Struthio camelus: one gene and its partners. The protein of the gene in region 1 purifies or fractionates together with the protein of each later gene. This does not show direct contact. Links are inferred from orthologs where the notes say so. Each region holds a gene or a part of one and is shown in the gene's direction. Other genes may lie near its edges.

Region 1 (7,936 bases):
CTGCAGTGGCTATAGAGTATATAGGGGCTGGAGAGGGGCACTAGAGGCTGTAGGTGCTACGGGGGCTACAGGGGCTGGAGGGGCTACAGGGGCTGCAGAGACTGCAGAGGGGCTATGGGGGTCACTGGGGCGACAGGGGCTATAGGGGCTGGAGAGGGGCTAGAGGGACTAGAGCAGCTGTAGGGTATATAAGAACTGCAGGGGGCTATAGGGGGCTACAGGGAGTGTAGGGGCTATAGCAGCTGGACAGCGGCTGGAAGGGCCGTAGGGGCTAAAGGGATTATAGGTGCTGGAGGGGCTATTGGGGCTGCAGAGGCTACAGGGGCTATAGGGGCTGGAGTGAGGCTACACGGCCTGCAGGGGCTATAGCAGCTGGAGGGGCTATAGGGGCTGGAGGATCTATAGGGGTTAGAGGGGCTACAGAGGCTCTGGGAGCCAGGGAGGTGCCGCAGGGGAGCTATAGGGGCTGCAGTGGGGCTATAGGGGCTGCAGAGCAGCTCTAGAAGGAAATCGGGGGCTATAAAAGCTGGAGAGGCACTATAGGGGCTGCGGTGCAGCTATAGGGGGCTAGGGAAGCGTCATAAAGGCTGTAGAGGAGCTATAGGGGCTGGAGAGTGGCTATAGAGGGTTATGGGGGGTATAAAAGCTGTAGAGGGGCTATAGTGGCAGGAGAGCGGCTATAGGGGGCTATGGTAGTGTCATAAAGGCTGGAGAGGGGCAATAGGGGTTGGAGAGCAGCTATAGGGGATTGTGGGGGGTTATAAAGGCTGCAGAGGGGCTCTAGGGCCTCCACGGTGGGTTTTAAAGGTTGGGGAGGGGCTATAGGGGGCCATCGGGGGCTATGAAGGCTGGGAAGAGGGTGTAGAGAGCTATGGCGGGGGGAGTCATAACGTTTGAAGAGGCTATAGGGGCTGGGGAGCAGCTATAGAGGCCTGGGGAGGGGGTAATCAAGGGCCAGAGAGGGGCTATAGCGGTCTATAGGGGCTGCAGTGCAGCTACTGGGGGTACAGAGAGGGGCTATAGGGAGCTGCGGAGGCACTGCAGCGGCTGGAGAGCAGCTATAGGGCAGCTACAGCAGGTAGTGAGCGCTATAGGGGGCCGAGGGTGCTGGGGAGAGGTTTATGGGGACTATAGGGGGCTTTGGGGGCTATAGGTGAGGACAGAGACGGGAAGCGGGCTTTGGGGGAGGTTACAAGGGGTGGAACGGCGCTCGAAGCGGTATAGGGTGCTATAGGGGGCACGTGGGGGGCAACAGGGGGTGGCGGAAGGGGCCTAAAGAGGGCTACAGGGGCCTATAGGGTGCAAAGAAGTGAGAGGAGCCATACGGAGGCTGGAAGGCTGCTATAGGGAGCTGGAGGGGCTGTGGGGGCTCAATGGGTCGGAGAGATGCTATAAGGGGGCTATAGGGGGCTGCAGGAGGGGCTAAGAGAGCAGAGAGGGGATTATGGGGGGGCCTATAGGGGCAGAGACTATAGGGAGGGCGAAGGGCCCCTTCCTGTATCTATAGGGAACTGGCAGCACAGACTCGCCCCAAGGGCTGCCACCTTCTTTCCCCGCTGCCAACAATCCTCCGTTAACTCTGGAACCTACTGACAGCTGCAGCCCAGGGCTCAGAGCGCAGGGTCAGCAGACAACCAGCCGCCACCCAGGGGTGGCCCCAGGGCCGACCCCCACCCAAGGGGACCTCCGAGGGCCGACCCCCACCCCGGGGTCCCCCCCCCACCCTGAGGGTCGAGCGTCACAGACCACCCCCCGCCGCCGCCATCACTTTTGTCTCCGTTCAGCCTTTATTAAAGCGATCGACAATCCCGCCGCCCCGTGTCACAAAATAAACCCGAAATTAAAAAAAAATAAGGTGCCCCCCCACCCCAATCACCGGTGGGGCACGAGGGCTCGTCACCGTCAGCACCCAAAGGTGTGGGGGGGGGGGGCACGGCCACCACCCAGCCACCGCTTCGGTCCCCTCCGCGCCCCCCCCTCCTCCCCGAAACCGCCTTCCGCGGGGCGATTCCCGGGGCGGGGGGGGGGGAAGCCAACCCCCCCCCCCCAACCTCCGTGGCGAACGCGCCGGCTCGCGGAGCTCGAGGCGGCGGTTGTCACCCCGGGGGTTGTCACCCGGCGCGGCGGCGCGTTGTGCCGCGAGCTCGAGGCCCCGGCCGGCGGCTCCGCTCACGGCTCCTCCGGGCGCGGGACGGCGGCGGTTTGCGGCGCGGCGTACGGCACCGCCGGCTCCTCGTCCCGGCAGACGACGGTCACGGTGTTGCCGGGCTCCGGCTGTAGGCAGGCCTGGAGGACGAGGAAACGGGGAGGAAACGGGGAGCCGCCGCGGGGCGGAAGAACAGATTCGGGGCTGGGGGGGGGGGGGGTGAAAGCGCTGCGACGGCGGCGAGCCGAGACCGCCGGGCCCAGGACGAGGCGTCCCGGGGTGGGGGGGGGGGTTTGGGGGTCCCGCGGGGGTCCCGGGGGGGTCGCGACGCTCCGCGCCGCCGGTACCTGCAGGGCCGCGGCCGCCGGGGCTGGGCTCGGCCACGGCCTACGCGCGGCCCGCCCGGGGGAAGGGCGGCGCTATAGGGGCTGCAGAGGGGCTATAGGGGAGCTATAGGGGCTGCGGGGGCTATAGGTGCTAGAGAAGGGCTATAGGGGCTACAGGGGCTGGACAAAGGCTATAGGGGAGCTATAGGAGCGATAGGGGCTGGAGAAGAGCTAGAAGGGCTAGAGGGGCTGGAGGGGAGCTATAGGGGCTGGAGAGGAGCTATAGGAGCGATAGGGGCTAGAGCAGCTAGGGGTGCCAGAGAGGAGCTATAGGGGCTCCAGTGACCACAGAGCATATAGGGGCCGGAGGGGAGCTATAGGGGCTGGAGAGGAGCTATAGAAGCGATAGGGACTGGAGAGGGCCTAGAGGGGCCACAGAGGAGCTATAGGGGCTCCAGCGACTACAGAGCACGTAGGGGCCGGAGAGGAGCTATAGGGGCTCCAGTGACCACAGAGCACGTAGGGGCCGGAGAGGAGCTATAGGGGCCGGAGAGGAGCTATAGGGGCTCCAGCGACTACAGAACACGTAGGGGCCAGAGAGGAGCTATAGGGGCTCCAGCGACTACAGAACATGTAGGGACCGGAGAGGAGCTATAGGGGCCAGAGAGGAGCTATAGGGGCTCCAGCGACTACAGAACATGTAGGGGCCAGAGAGGAGCTATAGGGGCTCCAGCGACTACAGAGCACGTAGGGGCCAGAGAGGAGCTATAGGGGCTCCAGCGACTACAGAACACGTAGGGGCCAGAGAGGAGCTATAGGGGCTCCAGCGACTACAGAGCACATAGGGGCCGGAGAGGAGCTATAGGGGCCGGAGAGGAGCTATAGGGGCTCCAGCGACTACAGAGCACGTAGGGGCCAGAGAGGAGCTATAGGGGCTCCAGCGACTACAGAGCACGTAGGGGCCGGAGAGGAGGAGGTCCCGAAATTCGCGGCGGCGCCACCCACCAGCGGCAGGAGCCCGAGCCCGCGCCGGGCGGGGAGGCTGTGGGCGCGCAGCCGCTGCACCAGGCTCTCCATGGCCTCCAGGCGGGCGCAGTGGCGCCGGCGCCGCTGCTGCAGCCCCTTCACCTTCCTCTGCAGCAGCAGCACCAGGCCGACGAGCTGCTCGGTGCTCAGCTCGGCCGCGGAGCCCCCGGCGGCGGCGGGAGGAGGAGGAGGAGGGAGCCGGACGCTCCGGGAAGGAGGCGGCGGCGGCGAGTCGCAGGCGGTCACGGCCGAGTTGGGGGGCTCCGGCGGGGGGTCCGGCGGCATCGCCCCCTCCCCGTGGCTCTGCGGCGCGGGGTCAGCGCGAACCGACGTCCCGAATCTGCGCGAGGGGCCGGAGCTGTCGGTGGGGGAGGGGAGGGGGGAGGCCAAGGCCTCCTCCATCCCGGGGTTCCCCTCCCCCCCCCCCCAGCAGCTCCCCCCCACCACCACCCCGGGGTGCTCTTGGCCCCTCCCCCATCCTGGGGTGCTCCCCACCCCACCCTGGGGGTTCCCCTCCCCCCTACCCCGAGGGGCTTCTGGCTCCTCCCCCTCTTGGCCCCTCCCCCACCCTGGGTGCTCCCCGACCCTTCCCCCACCCTGGGAGTTCCCCTCCCCCACTCCAGGGGGCTCCCGCCCCTCCCCCACCCCGGGGCTCCCCTCCCCCCACCCCGAGGGGCTCCTGGCTCCTCCCCCTCTTGGCCCCTCCCCCACCCTGGGGGGTTCCCCTCCCCCACCCTGGGGTGCTCCCGACCCCTCCCCCACCCTGAGGATTCCCCCCCACCCCGAGGGGCTCCCAGCCCCTCCCCCACCCCGGGGGCCCCTCCCCCACCCCGGGGGGCTCCCAGCCCCTCCCGCTCCCCCCTCCCAGCCCCACGCGACCTCTGCCCGGGCCCAGGACACGGCACCACCCCCCCCACCCACCCCCGCCGCGTGACGTCACGGCGCGGCCCGTGACGTGCCCTGACGTCAGCCCCCGGCCGCCAAGACCCGGAAGCGCCTGCCGGGCGGGGCGGCGGTACCGACTCGCGGAGGGGGGGGCGGCGGCGGCGGCAGGAGGCGGCGGCAGGAGGCGCCGGGCCGGGCCGGGGGCGCTGGGGCAGCTCGGGGCCCGGCACCACTCGGCCACCACCACCGCCGCCGCCGCCGCCCACGTGACGCGCCGCCGCGCTGCGTCAGCGCGCACGCACGCACGCCACGCCCCTTCCCCGGTGCGCATGCGCGCTGCCGCAGGCGGGGAGGGGCGGGGCGCCGCCATAGCAACGCGGCCTGCACGCCGGAGCCGAGGCGGGGCGGGGACATAAACACGGCTTCCCCACCCCCTCCTCCGCAGCGGCGCCGCCTATTGGCCGAGCCCCGCGCTGATTGACAAGGGGGCGGAGCGGGCGGCGCCCCGCTCTCCTATTGGTCGAGCCGCTGAGCGGCGTGGGCGGGGGCCAATGGGGTGGGGACGCCGGCTGGCCGCGCGCAGTTCGGAGCTGCGGCGGGCGGCGGCGGCGGCCCGGAGCCATGGCGGGAGCCGGCGGTCCCGGGCCCGGTCCCGGCCCCGTTCCCGGCCGGGCCGGCACCGACTCGCCGCCTCTCTTCACCCTCCGGCGGCGGTCGCGGCACCAGGGTCCGGAAGACGCGGTGAGGCGAAGGGAAGGGAGGGGGCGGCCGTTGGCGGGGGGCGGGGCCTGTGGGGGGCTTGGGGGCGGGGCCTAGGGGTGTTGGGGCGGGGCTTTGGGGGGAGCGGGGACCCCCCATGGGGCGGGGCTTGGGGGGCCCATAGGGATTGGGGTGGTGGGGGTGGGGCTTGAAAGGGGGCGGGGCTTGGAGGTCCCCGTGGGGATTGTGGTGGGGGAGGGGCTTGGGGGCAAGGCTTGGGGTCCCCATGGGGATTGGGGTGATGGAGGCGGGGCTTGTAGAGGGGGCGGGGCTTGGGGTCCCCATGGGGATTGGGGTGATGGAGGCGGGGCTTGTAGAGGGGGCGGGGCTTGGGGTCCCCATGGGGATTGGAGTGATGGAGGTGGGGCTTGTAGAGGGGGCGGGGCTTGGGGTCCCCATGGGGATTGGGGTGATGGAGGTGGGGCTTGTAGAGGGGGCGGGGCTTGGGGTCCCCATGGGGATTGGGGTGATGGAGGTGGGGCTTGTAGAGGGGGCGGGGCTTGGGGTCCCCATGGGGATTGGGGTGATGGAGGTGGGGCTTGTAGAGGGTGCGGGGCTTGGGGTCCCCATGGGGATTGGGGTGGTGGGGTGGGGCTTGTAGAAGGGGTGGGGCTTCGGGGTCTCCATGGGGATTGGGGTGGAGGGGTGGGGCTTGTAGAGGGGGCGGGGCTTCAGGGTCTCCATGGGGATTGGGGTGGAGGGGCGGGGCTTGTAGAGGGTGTCGGGCTTGGGGTCCCCATGGGGATTGGGGTGGAGGGGCGGGGCTTGTAGAAGGGGTGGGGCTTGGGGGTCTCCATGGGGATTGGGGTGGTGGGGGTGGGGCTTGTAGAGGGGGCGGGGCTTGGGGGTCCCCTTAGTGGGGGGACTAAGGAGTCCCCCTGCATCCTCGTGGCTTTCCCTCGACTTCCGATTTGGGGGATTTTGGGGGTTTTTTCTCCCCCCCCCCCCCAGGTTATGCTCGAGCGAGTGCTGGGAATAACCACCCAAAGCAGCAGCGCGCTGGCCTGCGACCCCACCACCGGGCAGATCGCCTATCCGGCGGGGTAAGCGCTTCTCGTCCCCCTTGGTCCCAAATGATCCGGCAGCCCCCGGCAAACAGCGGGGGGGGGGAAAACCCCTTCGGCTCGCTCTCGCCGAAGCCGGCTTGGTCGAACGGCGTTATTTGCCGTTGCCGCCCGGAAACGCCTTAACTGACCTCAAAACCGCATCCCGGTTTGGTGCCAGCACTAAACCTTTGGCTTCTCCGAGTTTAAAACGCGGCAGGTTGCCGTTTCCTGCAAAAACGCTTTTACGGGAAGGCTTTAAAGCTCTCGGCGGTCTCTCTCGTCCTCCCTTAAAACCCCCTTCGTTCCTCCGAAGCCGCGATCGAGGAAAACGGCTACCGGTACGCCCTCGATCTCTCTTTTGCCTTTGTTTTTTCTTTTCCAGATGCGTCGTTGTCATCTTAAATCCCCGAAAGAACAAACAGAGACACATCCTGAACGCTTCCAGGTCTCGGGGCGACTTTATCTACCCTCAGCCTCCCAGCGGGCTCGGAGGGAGGTTTGGAAAGCGGCGACGTTTGCGTTCAGGTCGCGTCGGGGCAAAGCGCGCTCCTCCGGCGCGCGCCGGGCCGTTTTCTACCTGCTCAAACGGGCTTGGGAAGGCGGACCGCGCTGACGGTTGACTTTTGGGAACCGTATCTGGGTAGCTTAAAGCTTTTTTTTTTTTCTTTTTCTGCTTTAACGTCACGTTCGACGCAAGGAAACGTTAGTTTGCCCTCTGGCGTGGCTCTCTGTAGCCCAGTTCTTAAAAACCCTCATCTTTTTGCAGGAAAACCCTGAGTGCTTTGGCCTTTTCCCCCGACGGGAAGCTTATTGTGACCGGAGAGGTGAGTCTGACTCGTTTGTAATCATGCCGTTTGCCCGTTTTTAATTGCCCAGCGCTGGTAAACATCCCTTACGAGCAGCACAGAGTAGCCAAGAATATTCCTCCAGCTTTTTTTTGTGTGTTTTCCGGCCCGTTTCCAGCCTTGGGCACTGGGGATCCCGGTCAGTCGGCATGATAACGCTGCTCATAGCAGTCAGCTGTGAACTACGCGCCTGGCTAGCGCAGCGGATGGGGAGGAGGGGGATCGAAAACGGGCTGGAAAATGTCAGACAGCCCCTTTTTTTTGGAAGGGGGGGCGGGAGCGGCGCTGGCAAAACGCGAAAGCCTGCTGCCGCCCCGGCTCCTCTCGCAGAACGGGCACCGGCCGGCCGTGCGCGTGTGGGACGTCGAGGAGCGGACGCAGCTCTCCGAGCTGCACGGCCACAAGCACGGCGTGGCCTGCGTGGCTTTCTCGCCCAACGCCAAGTACCTGGTGTCGGTGGGCTACCAGCACGACATGATCGTCAACGTGTGGGACTGGAAGGTGAGCGCCGGAAAGCCGGGAACTTGGCCTCGTCGCCTTCGGTTCGGGCTTCCTCCCTGGAGGCGTTTAAGCGCGCGGGTCGACCCCGGCCAAACTCAGCTCGATTGGCAAATCGCCCGTTAAACCGAGCCGGCTCGCTGCGGCTGAACCGCCTCGTGAACTCTCGCCGAAACACCGCTATCACCCCCTCCCCAAATTGGGGCAGAATAGCCCTTTCCGATCTCTTTGCCTCGTGACGTTCCTGGGGGCGGCTAGAGGCAGCGGCTCGGCAGCAAGATCGCAACGTCGGCCGTTATTATCTTGTCTCGTCGACGAGCCGCTGGGGGCTGTTTGCTTCTTTCTGAGCAGAAGGATTCTCTGGTGGCATCCAACAAGGTGTCCTGTAAGGTCATGGCCGTGTCC
Region 2 (7,122 bases), on another chromosome or scaffold:
TAAAAGTCCCTGTGGTCTTGTTCTGAATGCCTAGAAATGCCCTTTGTTCTGGAATTATTCTTAGAAAGCCAAGTATAGAGGCTTCATTGATAAGGTGCAGCATTAAGCAGCCGCAGTGGAAAGGGAGATCAGGCATCTAAGTACATAATTTAGGAAGACAGGAGTGTGACACAGATAAAAATTAGAAGTATGTTTGGGGGATTTAGGAATTAAACTCTACAACTCAAAGTTACACACACCTATAATCAATATTTCCCTAGTAAAGAAACCAGAGCAACACTTGGCTATGACATAGTTAGAATACGTTACCAGAATCCAGCCCTGAATCTGGCGCAGGGATCCCACTCTCCGATGTTGTCACCATATAAAGCCAAACTCAAGAACTTTTATCTAAATTATATGAAAGCCTTGCCCATGCAAAATTTCAGCTGAGTGACAGTATAAATAAAAAACACCCTATGTTGTATTAATATCAGTGTATAGAAATATGAGGCATTGTGATACCATAAACACTGTCTCTTCATGGTTAAACTACACTTTTCTCCACTAGCAATTTCTGATCAGCTGAGTATGTCTAACTGGTTGTATATACTTGGCTGCCAATTTACTTGGTACACCCTACTGATATAAATGGACTGTTAATGGACTTACACTCAGAAAGACCTTTGCAGGCTCAGCAAAGAAGAGGTTAACAGTGTTAATGCCATTTCAGAGAACACATGGTCTGTTGACTACACAGACAGAAATGTCTCTTTTTCTGAGCTGAAGTATACCTTATGCATGAACATGGCCCCTGTGCTCATGATCAAGGTTATAACCTGTTGCATGGTGCCCCGTGGTGGCTGCTTTCCTTCTGCTACCTTTGCCAAGGCCAGCAACTGTTCAGTTGATTTTGATTACTATTAAAAAAACTTAATCCTAAGTCATGATTATTTGCTAACAGGCAGAACGAACAATAAATCAGCATTTACTGATTAGTGACTGTTTCCAGTTCCACTCAGTGGGGGAATGCAGTTCCCTCCAACTAGTTACTTGACACTGATTTCATCTTGCTCTTAAAGACATAGTTAAATAAAAAATCCAGCTGGTAAAATGTTTCTTTTATTAATTTCCTTTTGATCTACTGGGTTATTAAAATGAAACATTTAAACACCTGCTATATTTATCAACAGTTAGAAGGTGTGATTCTTCATTCATTTTCTTTGTATGCTTTTTTCAGGCTTTAATATGCCAGTTAATTGAATTTTTGGTTGTAACTAGTTTCTAGCAAATGTCCATTTCATTTTCTAGTGTGAAATACAACTTTTGTATTGCAACCAATGGTAAAGATAAACTGTTGAAGTAAAGATATTATCAAACGGTTTTGTTTACTTCACATAAACATTTGTATTACTTATGGAATTTTCTAAAATGTTATAAAGTCTGGGGGTTGTTTCCAAATATAATGCCCTTAGCAAACAATATTTATCAACTTGTTTTTATAACAGGGCGTGGATGTTGATCCTGGCTGTGACTTATCAAGCCTCAGCGTGGAAAAACTGGGCCCCCTGACTCCCCACAATTCTTGTTGATCTCTTCTTGGCCAGATAATTAGTGAGGTGAGGAGATGGTTATGGTTTATTAATTTCCAGAAGGCATCTTTCAGTGCTGAAAGGTAGCTAGGTGTCTATGCAATGATGATATTTATATACATGTCTAAAACAAATAAATGATAGAATTACAGTGACTGCATGTTTGCACAGGTGGTTCAGCCTGGGAAGTTCAGTGAAATGCAATTTTTGTCTTCTATTGAAGATGACTTAAGAAAAGAAATGTTAGAAGGTCCATTCTTGCAGATACATGTTTTTAAATAAGATAACTTAAAAAAAAAAAAAAACTTTTTTCAGAGCATGCTATTTACCTGCCTATCTAAATGTTGTTATCTTACAGTTGCAACACATACCTAGAATATCTTATTTCTCTTCTCAGGAAGAGAAACTTGTCTAAGAATGATTGTAGGCATAATCAGATACTTACTTTTAAACAGCTGTTGTGGTTTAAGAAGGTACCACCCTGTGTCTTCTCACTGCAGCCCCATTCAACTGAAGTACATTCACTTACTTTGTGAATTATCCTAGTCCGTTTTGGTGCAAAAATAATTCATCATTCTTTACTATGGATGTTTTGTGGACAAAAGTGACTACATTATATAGCCTTGGGCTTGATGTTTTGTATTGTAGTTTCTAACTTTTCTTATCTTTTTGGATATCAGTCAGGACGATCCAGAAAAGAGTCTCCACCCGGGCATACTCAATATTTGCACATAGCCATTATGCTTGCAAGAAAATACTTCTGCAAAGCAGTTTTGAAAACAACACTATGGTGATGCTAAATAACATTCTCAAAAAAAAAATTTTTTTTAGGGACTTAGTTTTAAAAAACAGATTATTCACACAATCAGGGAAATTTTGTCCTTATTAAGAGAGGCATTATTTCAATGTCTTAAAATTTTTGCATAGAGCACAGGAACCTTACAGCCTATCGGTAATGTCTTTAATTTTTTAAAGGCGATATACTAGTAAGTAGCAGATTTATGATATCAAATCCTTATTTTCCTTTTATTGTGTTCCTTCATAAAATCTTTAAATATGTAGGAGTCCATGGAACGTGTAATATTAAAATATATAATGCTACTTCATTGTGCTTTGCATCAACACTGGTCTGCTCTTGTTGTGTAATTTCTGCATCATTATTATCTGTTGCTTATCAGCTCTGCATACAAGCTAGCGATAGATGCTGATGGCACATATGGCTGTGAGTGCTAGTTTTAAAAAACTCACTTATAAATACATCTCTGTTAAAGTGTCAACTTTGTAACGTGTAAAATCTCAATGAGAATTTGAACGTCCAGTGAAAAACATATGTGACAAACCTATAGCATAAGCAAAACGCCATTTTAAACTTGCCAGTCTCAGTGAAGTCTTATCTCAAATAGCACGATTAGGAACGATAGCTCCCCAAAAGATTAAGAGTAACATAGGTGATCCTTAAAGCCGCAGGAAGGAATTTGCCTTGCAAATAACTGTGCTGGCTGAACGTGGTGTCACCCCCCCACCCCCCGTTTCTGGCAGCAGAGACGCAGAGCAGCAAAGGTTGCTACCAGAGAGGTCTGCTTGCCAGCAGAAGGAAACACGTGCCTGTGCCACGGTCTGCTTCAGGCAAAATCGGCAGGGCTAGTCTCATCTGCTGATGAAGATGGATATGACCTAACCAGATTAAATTTTTTTGCCTCCAGTGGATTTCAGGGATTTGTATTGCCTTTCCTGCCAGCCTTTGGCACAAATAAACACGGAAGGGAATGCAACACCTGACTGTATTCTCACGTACTCCTACCAGAAAAAGCCTGAAAGCAAAACACGAGTTAATTCAACTCAGAGACTGCCCCATGAAAATAATCAGAGGTGAAGTGGGAGAAACTTGATTTCCTCTCTCTTGGAAAGACGCTTAAGAGCCTGGTGGGATGCAGAGGGGCCTCTCTCCTGGGGTGGAGTCTAAGCGATAGCTTTTCCTGTAGGTATAAAGGAAACGCTGTGTATCTGTCTGCAGGGATCTGTAATGGAACGACTTCTCAGATATGGATTGAAAATACGCTTGCCTAAAATAAATGAGAATTTTAAGGACGTGAGTGCAGAGACCTCACTAAAACAGGCATATGAGTAGTAGGTCAACAGCTTTATGGAAGTGAAGCTCCTAATAGCGCCAGGATAGTGGGCCAAACTGTAATACTCTGAAGCACCACCTTTATGGTGTGAAAATCTAAGCTTGTTACAGCCATGCAGCAGGGTAAAAGCTGTTAGCAGTGACGACCTCACTGTGATCTTGGCATCTTCAAAAACGTGACACTTAAATGTTTAACAAATCGATTAAACGTGGACTGTCTGATTTTGGTGTGCCGGACTGACAGATTTTAATTAAAAACCGGTCAAAGAGCCTTTTTTGTACTGTGCAGCGTAAATATACAAAGGCTTGCTTCAAACGTGTTGATAGGGCTTCAAGGTGCTCAGAGGCCTGGCCTCCTTTTGTCTCTGCGCAGTGACACGGGGCGGGGAACAAACAATGATATACCAAAGAAAACGCAGAAAAACCAAAGAGCGACTGCTTGCGTCAGGCAGCGAGAGCCAAAGACGATGGCGAGGGATGACTCAAAGCCTCGCAACGCAGCACTGAAGACTGAGAGGAAAAATTGCCAGAGCAGCTACGGAACAAAAAAATATGACAACACCCAGTAAGGAGATAAAGCTCGGGCGTGGCAGACGCGGCCCCGGATCCGCGGCGGTGCCAGCGCAGCCCAAGGCGTCTGGGGGCACGAGGAAAACTGCCGCTGGAGCGCGATGGCGGGGTGCGGACGGCATGGAGCTGCGAAACGCGGTTGTTTATGGCAGTGCCGGCAGGAGGGGAGGCGTAATTCGGGACAGGGGCTGCTGCGGGAGGGCGGGCGCGGAGGAGCCCTGGCGATGCCGGCGCTGGCAGCCGGGCGGGCAGCGGGGGCGCCGCAGAGCCCGCGGGCGCGGACAGGCCGCGGCGTGGGCGGGGCCGGCGCAGCCGCAGCCGCGCCGGGCGGGCGGAGCGTGCGCGCGGCCCGGCCCCGGCTCATTACTCAGCGGCCGAGCAGGCGGCGGGAGGCGGCGAGCGGGGCCGAGACGGCGGCGGCGGCGGCGGCCTGGCTGGGGCTGAGGAGGAGGTGGTGGTGGCGGCGACGGCGGCGGCGGGGAGCGGGACTGAGGCGGCGGCGGCCGGGCCGGGCCTCTTTGTTTACGTTTCGGAGCGAGGCCGCGGCGGGGGCGGCGCTCGGCCTGTGGCAGCGGGGGCGCCCCCGGCCCTGAGGCGACGCGGGGCTCTCCAGGCCCGTGTCCGCCGGGGCCGGGCCGGGCCGGGCCGCGCTCGGCGCCCGGCGTCTCCCGGTAACGGGGGGGGCGGGGGGCTCTTTGTTGGCGGCCGGGAGGGGCCGGGGCTCGGCGCGGGCTCCTCCCCCGGGGGCGCGGGGGGCGGCGCGGCGCGGCGCGGCGGCCTGTTGGCCTGCGGGGCCGGGACCGCCCCCCGCGGGAGCGCGGCTCCGCGACCTTGCTGTGGAAGTGCCTCCTCGGGAAGAAACGCTCCTCCGGGACGGCGTGACCGCCCCAAATCCGCAGGGGGGCTGGGGGGCGTCTGGCGGCGCTTCCGATTGTTTTGCCTTTTAATTTCATGTTTCCGGTGAAAGGGGTGAGCTGCCTGCCTGCAGAATTTGTTTTGTCCTTTAGTTGCTCTGTGTCGCTAACAGCGTCTGGCTTTGCTCTCAGAGCCTGTTTCTTTATGTGTCTCTCTGTGGAGTGGTGCCATCGCTGAAGCCTGATCTGGGCATGACTGATAAGCTACAAATATGAACCCCACTCGGTTAATTCTCCCCTAGTTACAGTAACAGATTCAGGTGTGTAGTGTGTTTTTTGAATTTAAGCGCTCTGCAGAACAGGCTTGCTGAAGTCTTTCAGATCATCCAGAAACCCTGCACGCTTTGGCCTGTCTGATAATGTAAATATAGAGGGTATTATACTTCTCGTGGAAGGAAAGTATTAATTGCCCTAGGGCACGTGCATGTAGAGTTTTGCGAGGAGAATTTTGCAAGCTTACATCACAACTCGGTCTTATTTACAGGCATGGAGACACTGACTAGTGGGGGACTCTCAATTTACATGAGTGCTAGCCTTGCTTTTAGAGGTGCAGACAAATATACCCCTAGGATGGGACAGTATTTGAAATGCATCTTACTTTATCTATGTATTTGCAGATATATCAGCATAACCTACAAATGGTTCCAGCTGTAGCCTGAAGACGCACTGGGCCAAATCTAGTTAAAGTCTACTGTCAAAGTGAGTTCACTGACTTATCTGAGCTTTCCTGGGGTATAATGAAGAGGGACTCTTAATTCTTTTAGTAATACCTAAGAAACGTATGTTGAATTTTTAACAGTCCCATGCTTGATCTCGGTCTACGAGGACAGCCATCTTGTCTTTTTTTTCACTTGATTTCAGATTTGTAGCATAGGCTAGTCCCTCTGCCCTCCTCCACCCCCCAAGTGACTGGATGTTCAGTGGTTTTCACATAAACGCCCATTGCTGAGTTCTGCAGAATCTCTACTGCCAGGACAGGGACCAGACAAATTCCAGGTTGATTGTCAGGTACTAACTGCTTTCAAGACAGATAGGGCAAAAGTATGTTAGGAGAAGGGAAAGAGTTTTGGAGTTGTAGAGGATGCACAAAGTTGACTGCACAAAGACATTTTGTCATAACTCTGACAAAGCAATTTTAACTCTGTCTTCTAGTGCAGAATTTCCCTAGCTTTTTGGCTCCAGTGGCTCCTATAAGCAGATGAAGTGTCTTGCTGTTTACCATATACCATATGGAGGCTTCTTGGTCAGAAACATTAAAAAGATGATCCAATACAGTCCTGTGTCCTACTGTTTGGGACTACTCATTCTAGGCAGAAGATGAGCTGTCCTTTGTGTATGGGTTGTTTTCTTGGTTGTTGTCTTTAACTTTTAATGATTCTCTTTAGAGAGCTAGGCCTTTGCTGGCTTTATAGGAGTGCAAGTATAACCTCCTTTGCAAATCCTTTAGATAAGTTGCTGTATCAGCCAATTGTAATGCAAATATTAGCAAATAAATTCCATTGTTGAGACTCCAAAACACTTATTTATTTTCTGCCTGCTACTTACCTGACATGGTTAGTTGTGGTTGTTGCTTGTTCTAATTCTTAAACCATGAGTTAATGGGATAGTATTTGAGATTATAATACTATTTGGTTATTTGTTCACTGTATGTTTGGGTGGTTTTTTTTTTCTTCCTTTCCCAACTACCTAAATCATGTGAGTGCTTGTTGTTTAAAGATGTATAAAAAGTAAGTGTGTAGCCCTTCATTTCTGAGGATTGATCCAATATTCTGGACTAAAACAGATATCCTTCCTGATAATCTGCTGAAAAGTACGGTATGATGTTTCTTAAGCTTCCCTTTTCTTCCCCATGAAAAAAGTTTTCTGTGAGTATGTATATAATGTTCATTGCTGTATCACTTTTTGCAAATTAGGCTAATCTGGTTTTGCTCATAGCTGC
Region 3 (7,224 bases), on another chromosome or scaffold:
CAGGCATGCTGTCTAAAATTGCAGAATCTGGATTGGAATTATAAGAATTTGTAGAAAAGTCTCAAACTGCATAATTATGCATGAAACATGGGTAAAGAATTAGGTTCGGCAACTCATGAAGTAATAATGATCTTTACTGACATTCGGTAAATCAACTACTGCTAGCGCTAACGACGTGAAGAATGTTTTTCGGGTCAAAGGAGTTAAAAATTGTACACCACTGAGAAACAAAGAGGTTGGCTGAGAAACATAATGGAATCCATGTTACATTCCCCGCACTGGGATTATGTTTGCATATTACCCTATTGATCTCCACCTACTGAGAAGCACTCCTGGATCTATGGAGTTGGTCCTATCTTTATACCGCATGGGAAAAGGCAGAGGTCCACATTTCCCAGAATGGTGCGGAAACTGAAGGGAAACAGCCACCAGAAGCTCAAATGTTCCAAAGTGATTTAAAAACCATAATGGATCCAATGTAAGGGAATCTAGTCAAAAACAGGAAAAATGGAAAGTGGTATGAAGAGAATACATGCATGCCTTCATTTGATATGAGGAGCTTTAATATCACTCTTGCACACAGTTAAACAGGCCAAGATGCAACATCCTTGAGAAAGGCCCTTTGAACTCACAGGAAAGTTAAAGAAGTCATTGACAACATCCAGATAACTTGGTACAAAGACATGCTTCAACTCCATATATCAAAAGGCTACATAACTATGAAGATATGAATATGACACTCCCCTATCACCTCAACAGGTTTTCTAGTTGAGAAAAAGAGAGATTCCCTTGGATCACTCAAAATGCACAACAAAGGACCTAAGAGAAAAGACAATATTCAGACTCTGTTGCAAAATGTAACAAAGAATATTTTCAAAATAAGACTAGTCTGAATAAAGGAATGAACTAAGAAGTCCTTACCAAGCTACTCATACACAGAAAAAAACATTTATATAAAGAAATATTGAGCACCCTGAAATTAGCCTGAATAGGCTTAGAGTCCAAAGGCCTTTGGCTTCCACTGCTGTCAGTCTCTAAGAAAGCCATGAACATCACATCCTGTAGGGGCTCCAGGCAGCAAAACGTAACCGCTGGATGACCATAACTACAAGGACGGATACTGAGCACAGCACGCTGCCTGGGCACTCTGGAACTAAAGGACACCAACAAATCTCCTTATATGAACACGAACAAAGGAAATCTGCCTTTCTCACTGCCTGTATGCAACCCTTTGGACTTACCAGAGATGCAAAAGACCATCATGGACTGGCCTGCAACTAAAATGAAAAGGTAGGTCACCCTCCTAGGCTATCACAGAACAAGAACAACAATTCAGAAGATGTTTCAGTAAAAGCGTATGTATCTCCTTCTGAGATCTGTATAAAAACAAGTAAACAATCCAGAAAAAGTATTCTAGATAATCAGAAGTGCTCTGAAAATAGGCAAAAATCTTGTTAAAACCACACATTTTCAGCACATTACTTACTTCAGCTTGTACTTATGCCTCTAGTAATGCAGGAGAAATGAACAAAAGAAAACAAAAACCCCAAGCGCGGCCTTTCTAAACAAAGCTATCCCTCTATGCATGACAGTACTCTGTAATAAAGCAGAGACATTATGCCACCAGATGATTTTTTTAAGCAGCAATACTGTAGTTGTTCGACTGTAGTTTTTTTTAAAAAACCTGAATAATCAGTCCATCTGGTTTCATCACAGTCTAAAGGAATGGACTCTAATTATATGCAGAGTTTAATCCTCAAAGAATTTGACAGAAAATCAGTCATATCATAGGAACAATAAAAAGTCAGAGCAAAAACCCTTTGCCTCAGTCCAAACTGAGCATTTGAAAATTATCCAGTGGTTTTCCATACTGGCCCACAGAAAAAGGAAATGTGATAAAGTTCAAAGATTAACTGTGCCTATGCATGGCAAGTCATAACTTTTACTCATCATTTTTACATAGCACAAAGGGACTCTACACATTTCAATACATGTTCCAATCTCTGTACTTCTAACTGTTCTATCTGTAGCTTCCAAGCAACATCTGTATGACCCATTTATACTCCTGGAAAAGTAACTAGAGACAATTCTTCAAAGCTGTATCTTCTGGAACAAAGCAAGATCCATCCTCAGTACAAACAACTGATGCTATTTTGAGAGAGTAAGGTGAAGTATTTGCTAAGAATAAAGTATCAAGTGGCTATTAAAAAATATTTCCATTGTTTTATCTTCTTGCAATAATGTTTCCTATATTGCAATTGTTCATGTAATTCACTAGCATCAGAAAACAAATTAGATTTATTTTCATTATCTTTAAATGCTGTTTAATAAAACATGAATTCAGGATGTGTTGATCTGGAACACAATATTTTTAATGCTAAGCAGGGTGGCATATCCACAGATTATCTTTTGGCTTTCTTCAGGATTTGGTTACATACTTTTACCAGTCAGAGGTAGTCTGAAAGCTTGTAACGCTCAGCTGTCATAGCAAAGAGGGGAAAAATGTTCTCTGCATATATAGTGCTTCTTGGATAAGAAGGCAGGTATGAATACAGTTTATGATGTGGGAATGATCACGCTCATAAGAATCATTTTTCTGCCTCTTCTTTATGACTAGAATTTTACACTTCAGTGAAAGCTAAGATCTGTGCACAAATCAAAGAAAAGCACACAAAACAGGCAGCAGCCCCATTAACGCCAAGGTTATGATCAGACAACTACTTCGGCTAGTATTAACTATATTTAAGGTGTGATATCTGACCGTTTACTTTAGCAGTCTGTTGCAACGCAAAATAAACCAAGACTATTTTTGTTGCAGTGGACCAGCAGAGTGCTCATGGTCAAGCAGCACCAGGGGCACTACAACTTGTTAAAGAGAACTAATGCAATCACACATGTAATCACATGACCCTACCTTATAGTTTGCCAGACACTGTATTTTTAGGTTCGTTCTGATTTTTATAGAAGTTCCAACTCCCCAAAGCACTTTTGGGAAGAAGAGAACAACAACAAGCTAGCCAGTCACACTTTAATTGGCTTCAAACTGCAGAAGCTCGAAGCACACGGGCTGTAGGTCTAATTTGGGGTTAAAGCGCACTGATTAAATAAAAGGCGGGGGAAGGGGGGGGATACGAGCACGGCTGACATGTTCTCACAAGTTCGAGTCAGGCCGTTGTACAGATGCGCTTTTACAGGGAAAACAAATTCTCACTCCGATATAATGTTGCTCTAGCCAGAGGTCCGGTTTAAGGAGCACCAGAAGAGCTAACTCGGCTCCTGCCACAAGTACGCCAAGAGCACGGCACGGCGCTGCCCCAGCCGAGCCGGGCCGGGACCCCCCCGCCCTGCCGCGGCGGCCCCCGCTCACCTCGGAGGCGCCTCTGGTACCGCTCCAGGGACTCTTGCAGGGCGGGCTCCCCCCGGGGCGCCCGCATGAGGAGACCCGTCCCTGCCGGACACCGCAGCCGCCGGCGGGGCTCCACTACAGGGGAAGCGCGTGGGAACCACCAGGCGATGCCCCGCCACACCGGCACCCCGCAACGGCGACCGGTAACGGTAGTTCGAGCCGCTCCGCTTTCCCGCGCGCCACAAGCGCCGGAGGCTCCCGGAAGAACTACAACTCCCACAATGCGCAAGGGGGACACGCTCCGCTTCCTCCGCGTTGTCCGTTGCTACCCGCGAACGGCCTCCCCCAGCCAGAGCGGAGCGTAGCAACGGTCGGGCCCCGCCACGCCCCCGAGCTACGCGGCGTGAGGCAAGGCCGTCAGAGAAACTACAAGTCCCAGCAGGCGGCGCGGCGCGCGGTGCTCCCTGGGAGGTGTAGTCTCTGCTGGCCGCCCACCTCCCCCACCCGGCAGCGGGCGGTGGGCAATCTCACACCCTGCTTTCCTCTTTGTTGTGGCTTGCGGCCGCGTTCGCGCCTGCGCACAAGGGCGCTCTTCCGCCTACGTTCTCGGGTCCGCAGTGGCTGGGTATAGCGCAGGTCCAGTCGTGCCAGAGGGGACGGGGCGGGGGGGGGGGGGAAGCTGTGTTTACCTCCCGCCACCGCGTACTCTGGCGCTTGCGCAGTGAGCGCCCGCCAGGCGGCGCGGAGAGTGCAATCACCCTCCTATTGTCTGAAGCTGGCGCAGGCGCAGCTCGGTCGCTGCGCCGCTCGTCCCTTGACGCCTGCGCGCTGGCCTCCCCCCACCCCCCCCCCATTGTGTGCGTTCGGGCGGCGCCTGCGCAGTGCCGTGCCCCGCTCTGCCCGTTAGCCGCTATGTGCAGGGAATAACGTTAGGGCGGTTGCTACAGGGACACCGAGCGGAGCGCCCCGCCCCCGCCCCGCGGGGATGCCGGGTCAGTGAGCACCGGCGGCTGCGGCGGCACCAGGGACGGCCCCTCCCCGTCGCGGCGAGCCTCCGAGAAGGGGTGAGTGGGGAGGGGGGTGCTGCCGCCCTGGCTGCGGGTCGGGTGCGAGCCGTGCCGGAGGGGGGCCGGGGTCGCGCCGCTTGCCCGCCATCCGCCCGCTGCCTATTGTGTCAGGCGCCGCGCCGGGGGGCTGCGCCCGGCCGAAGGGCGGTAGCGGACGGCCCCCCCCTCCTCCTCCTCCCCGTCGTGCCCGCTGCGGTCCCCCACCCCCTCGCCAGCGCGGCGGGGCCGGCGGGGGGCTGCCGCCGCGCCGAGCCCGTAGGGGAGCGGCGCAGATTGGATGCAGATGGTGCCGCCGGATGCCGGTGCCCGCAGCCGCCGGCCCGTTGCCGCCCCGCCGCCGCCGTGGGGCCCGGCCGGCCGCCCCCGCCGCCGGCACACACCCAGCCCACCCGGCCGGCTGCGGGCACCGCGGCTCTTCAGGCTGCCTCCCTCCCTCCCCCGCCGGCGGATTTCCGCGTCTCGAGGAGACCTTTTCAGCTGTTTGTTTGTTCATTTATTTATTTATTTATTCCGGTCACTCCTATTTCAAAAACTGCCCCGTGGCTGGAGAGGGTGTGTTTCTCCAGATTTAAAAATGACCGATAACTGTTCGTTTGACATGCAGTGTTCCCGCCGCCGCCCCCTTGAAATAACGATGTTGGAGCGGGATGATGGAGAAGATCTGTTGGTTTTGCCATCTCTCTTACTGTGTGTTTCCACCCAACAAAGAGGGTCTTTTACGTTCCATAACACTCTCCCGAATGCTCGATCTTTCCATTCTTGAGACTCTTCCCGCAGGAAACGTAGAATAACCTTCCCCCCCCCCCCAATCTCCGCCTCTCCCTGGTGGTGGAAGAAAAGTGCTGGGCTCACTTTTGTCTCTTTGGCCTGGAAACGAACGGGTTACGGATCTAACAAAAACCCGATGGCGGTTTTCAAATATAAAGCGTTTGGTAGAGGAGGAAGCTGGCTTCGGGGCGGCTCGGCGGCGGCGCCCTCCGCCCTGGCCGCCCGCGCACACGCCGCCGCGGCCGGATGCCGCCGGCCCTGCGGGCGGGGGGAAGGAGTAGCCTCCTCCAGATCGCTTTTGGGCGCGTTTGGCGTTCACCGGCAGCAGGCAGAGGTGACCGTGCATCTCTCGCAAGCCCGGCTGGAGAAACGCCAGCTGGATGAAGCGCGGATGATGGCCGTTCGGTGTCATAATTATGTATACGAGCCGGGAGGAGCTCGCGGTGACAAGAGTGTTGATGGTGTTGTGCTAGTTGCCAGCCTTTTAGACGTTATTTTAAACGTTTTTAAGATGAGCCGACAATTACTCCATCTGTTCTTACTGTTTTATGAAAAAATGGAGATGTAGTTGCTGTGCTGATGAATTGAAGATAAGAGTTGCGTTCTTGTGACAACCTAGATAAGAGGTTACAGATAGCACGCGCTGATCAGCCCTTTGAAGAAATTATTTTCTTCTCAGTGAAAGCAAAGGTGTTCATGAAGTATTTGATTTATTTGAAAGAATAAAGCCTGTTCCTGGCGCTATGATGAACCCCCCCCCCCGCCATGGAGTGCTGTTCAAGGCTTTGTGACAGTGAAAAATGGTGTGTGGGACAGGACGATTTTTGTAAACTGAACTAGTATGTGATTAAATATGCTGTGATTTCCTATGATTAATTTCCTCTGGGAATTATTTTCTGTCCAGATGTTGAGGAGTATGTCTTACTGGAACTGAGCTCTGTAGGTATGAAAGATCCTAAACTTTACTTAACAAAGGGCTGAGAGGGAAGGTTGAACATAAATACGTTTAAGAATCTCCCTTCCCTTTTTGATTTTCCAAATACTTTTCAGTTTATATACACGTATTTGTTTTCTTTTCTCTCTGAAAGAGGTCAGGAAGACTGCCTAAATGGAGAGAAAAGAATAGCTGAGTATACACAGAATTTTGTCAAAAGCAAGCCATAAGACTTTTTTTTCCCCTCTAACTTATGAACTATCTAAAAGGCATTTGTAATGAATCGGATAAAAATATTTCCTTTTCTACATTTAGAGAGAAGTATTTTGACATGAAAGTTGTTACTGAACTTACCTTATCTTGGTGCTGCATTTTCTTTGACATCTGTGCCGGCTATCCTGCAGGTGACTCCCTCCTGTATCAAATCAGGCTGGGTTTTGCAAATTAGAATAGGTTCTGTATTGGGCTTCATAAGCTGTAATAGGCCTGGCAGGAAGGTATTTTTTAACAATTCTCTTGATAACATACAGTCCAGAAAAGAGTTGCATTCTTGAAATTGAACTAGAGAAGTCTATGTTTACTTGCAGATGGGAACTAGGAAGCTTCCTTGAGCAACTGGAATAAAGCCTAAACCATGAATAGCTGCAGAAATTGATTTTGAGGTACAATTTCCAGTTCTTGCAAACGCAGGTAAAATGTAATAATGTAAGCTGATATCGTAGTATCTCCTTGAATCTCTACACAAAGACTATTTCCTTGTGGCAGCTGTCCTTCTTAGCTTTGGCAAGCAGAATTAAGTGGAGGTGAAACAGATTATTTTTACTTTGTTATTCAGGAAGCCAAGGATATCTGTGGAAATTTTACTTTTGCTTAAGAAAAACTTAACAGAGGAGACAGGCATTGAATATATTCAAATATCAGAACTTGTAGAAATTCTTGTATTTGCTTCTAACATTTGTGGGGTGTTTTTTTTTTTAACAAAAAAAAAAAACCAACAACAATGGCATGCACTTCCCCCTCTTTGAAGAACTTGGTGTATGATTAGTAAAAACTGGTATGGTAGCGACCAGGAGACTGTTTGGAATTTGAGAAAAGAAAGTTCTTTGTTA

The links. The genes of interacting proteins can lie anywhere in the genome.
Region 2: the proteins of WDR62 (region 1) and MAPK8 purify together in Homo sapiens (affinity purification with mass spectrometry; 5 studies listed by BioGRID and IntAct, counting the BioPlex papers as one, with this or other methods). This does not show direct contact. The link is inferred for Struthio camelus from reciprocal best matches to the Homo sapiens genes WDR62 and MAPK8.
Region 3: the proteins of WDR62 (region 1) and CEP170 purify together in Homo sapiens (affinity purification with mass spectrometry; 3 studies listed by BioGRID and IntAct, with this or other methods). This does not show direct contact. The link is inferred for Struthio camelus from reciprocal best matches to the Homo sapiens genes WDR62 and CEP170.

Annotation. Positions count from the first base shown.
Region 1 is NC_090957.1:1,836,816-1,844,751, forward strand, and holds the start of WDR62 (WD repeat-containing protein 62), read left to right. Parts: upstream 1-4,919; 5' UTR 4,920-4,934; coding exon 4,935-5,124; intron 5,125-6,093; coding exon 6,094-6,185; intron 6,186-6,389; exon of another isoform or gene 6,390-6,526; intron 6,527-6,570; coding exon 6,571-6,633; intron 6,634-6,726; exon of another isoform or gene 6,727-6,828; intron 6,829-6,954; coding exon 6,955-7,012; intron 7,013-7,301; coding exon 7,302-7,534; intron 7,535-7,882; coding exon 7,883-7,936. Other genes in the region: THAP8 (THAP domain-containing protein 8), read right to left, coding at 2,170-2,286, 3,478-3,838, 4,518-4,714. UniProt on the Homo sapiens protein: Required for cerebral cortical development. Plays a role in neuronal proliferation and migration.
Region 2 is NC_090948.1:21,904,704-21,911,825, reverse strand, and holds the start of MAPK8 (mitogen-activated protein kinase 8), read left to right. Parts: upstream 1-4,106; 5' UTR 4,107-4,264; intron 4,265-4,315; exon of another isoform or gene 4,316-4,378; intron 4,379-4,591; exon of another isoform or gene 4,592-4,723; intron 4,724-4,921; exon of another isoform or gene 4,922-4,940; intron 4,941-5,800; 5' UTR 5,801-5,882; intron 5,883-7,122. UniProt on the Homo sapiens protein: Serine/threonine-protein kinase involved in various processes such as cell proliferation, differentiation, migration, transformation and programmed cell death.
Region 3 is NC_090944.1:98,413,046-98,420,269, reverse strand, and holds the start of CEP170 (centrosomal protein of 170 kDa), read left to right. Parts: upstream 1-4,208; 5' UTR 4,209-4,410; intron 4,411-7,224. Other genes in the region: SDCCAG8 (serologically defined colon cancer antigen 8), read right to left, coding at 3,368-3,434.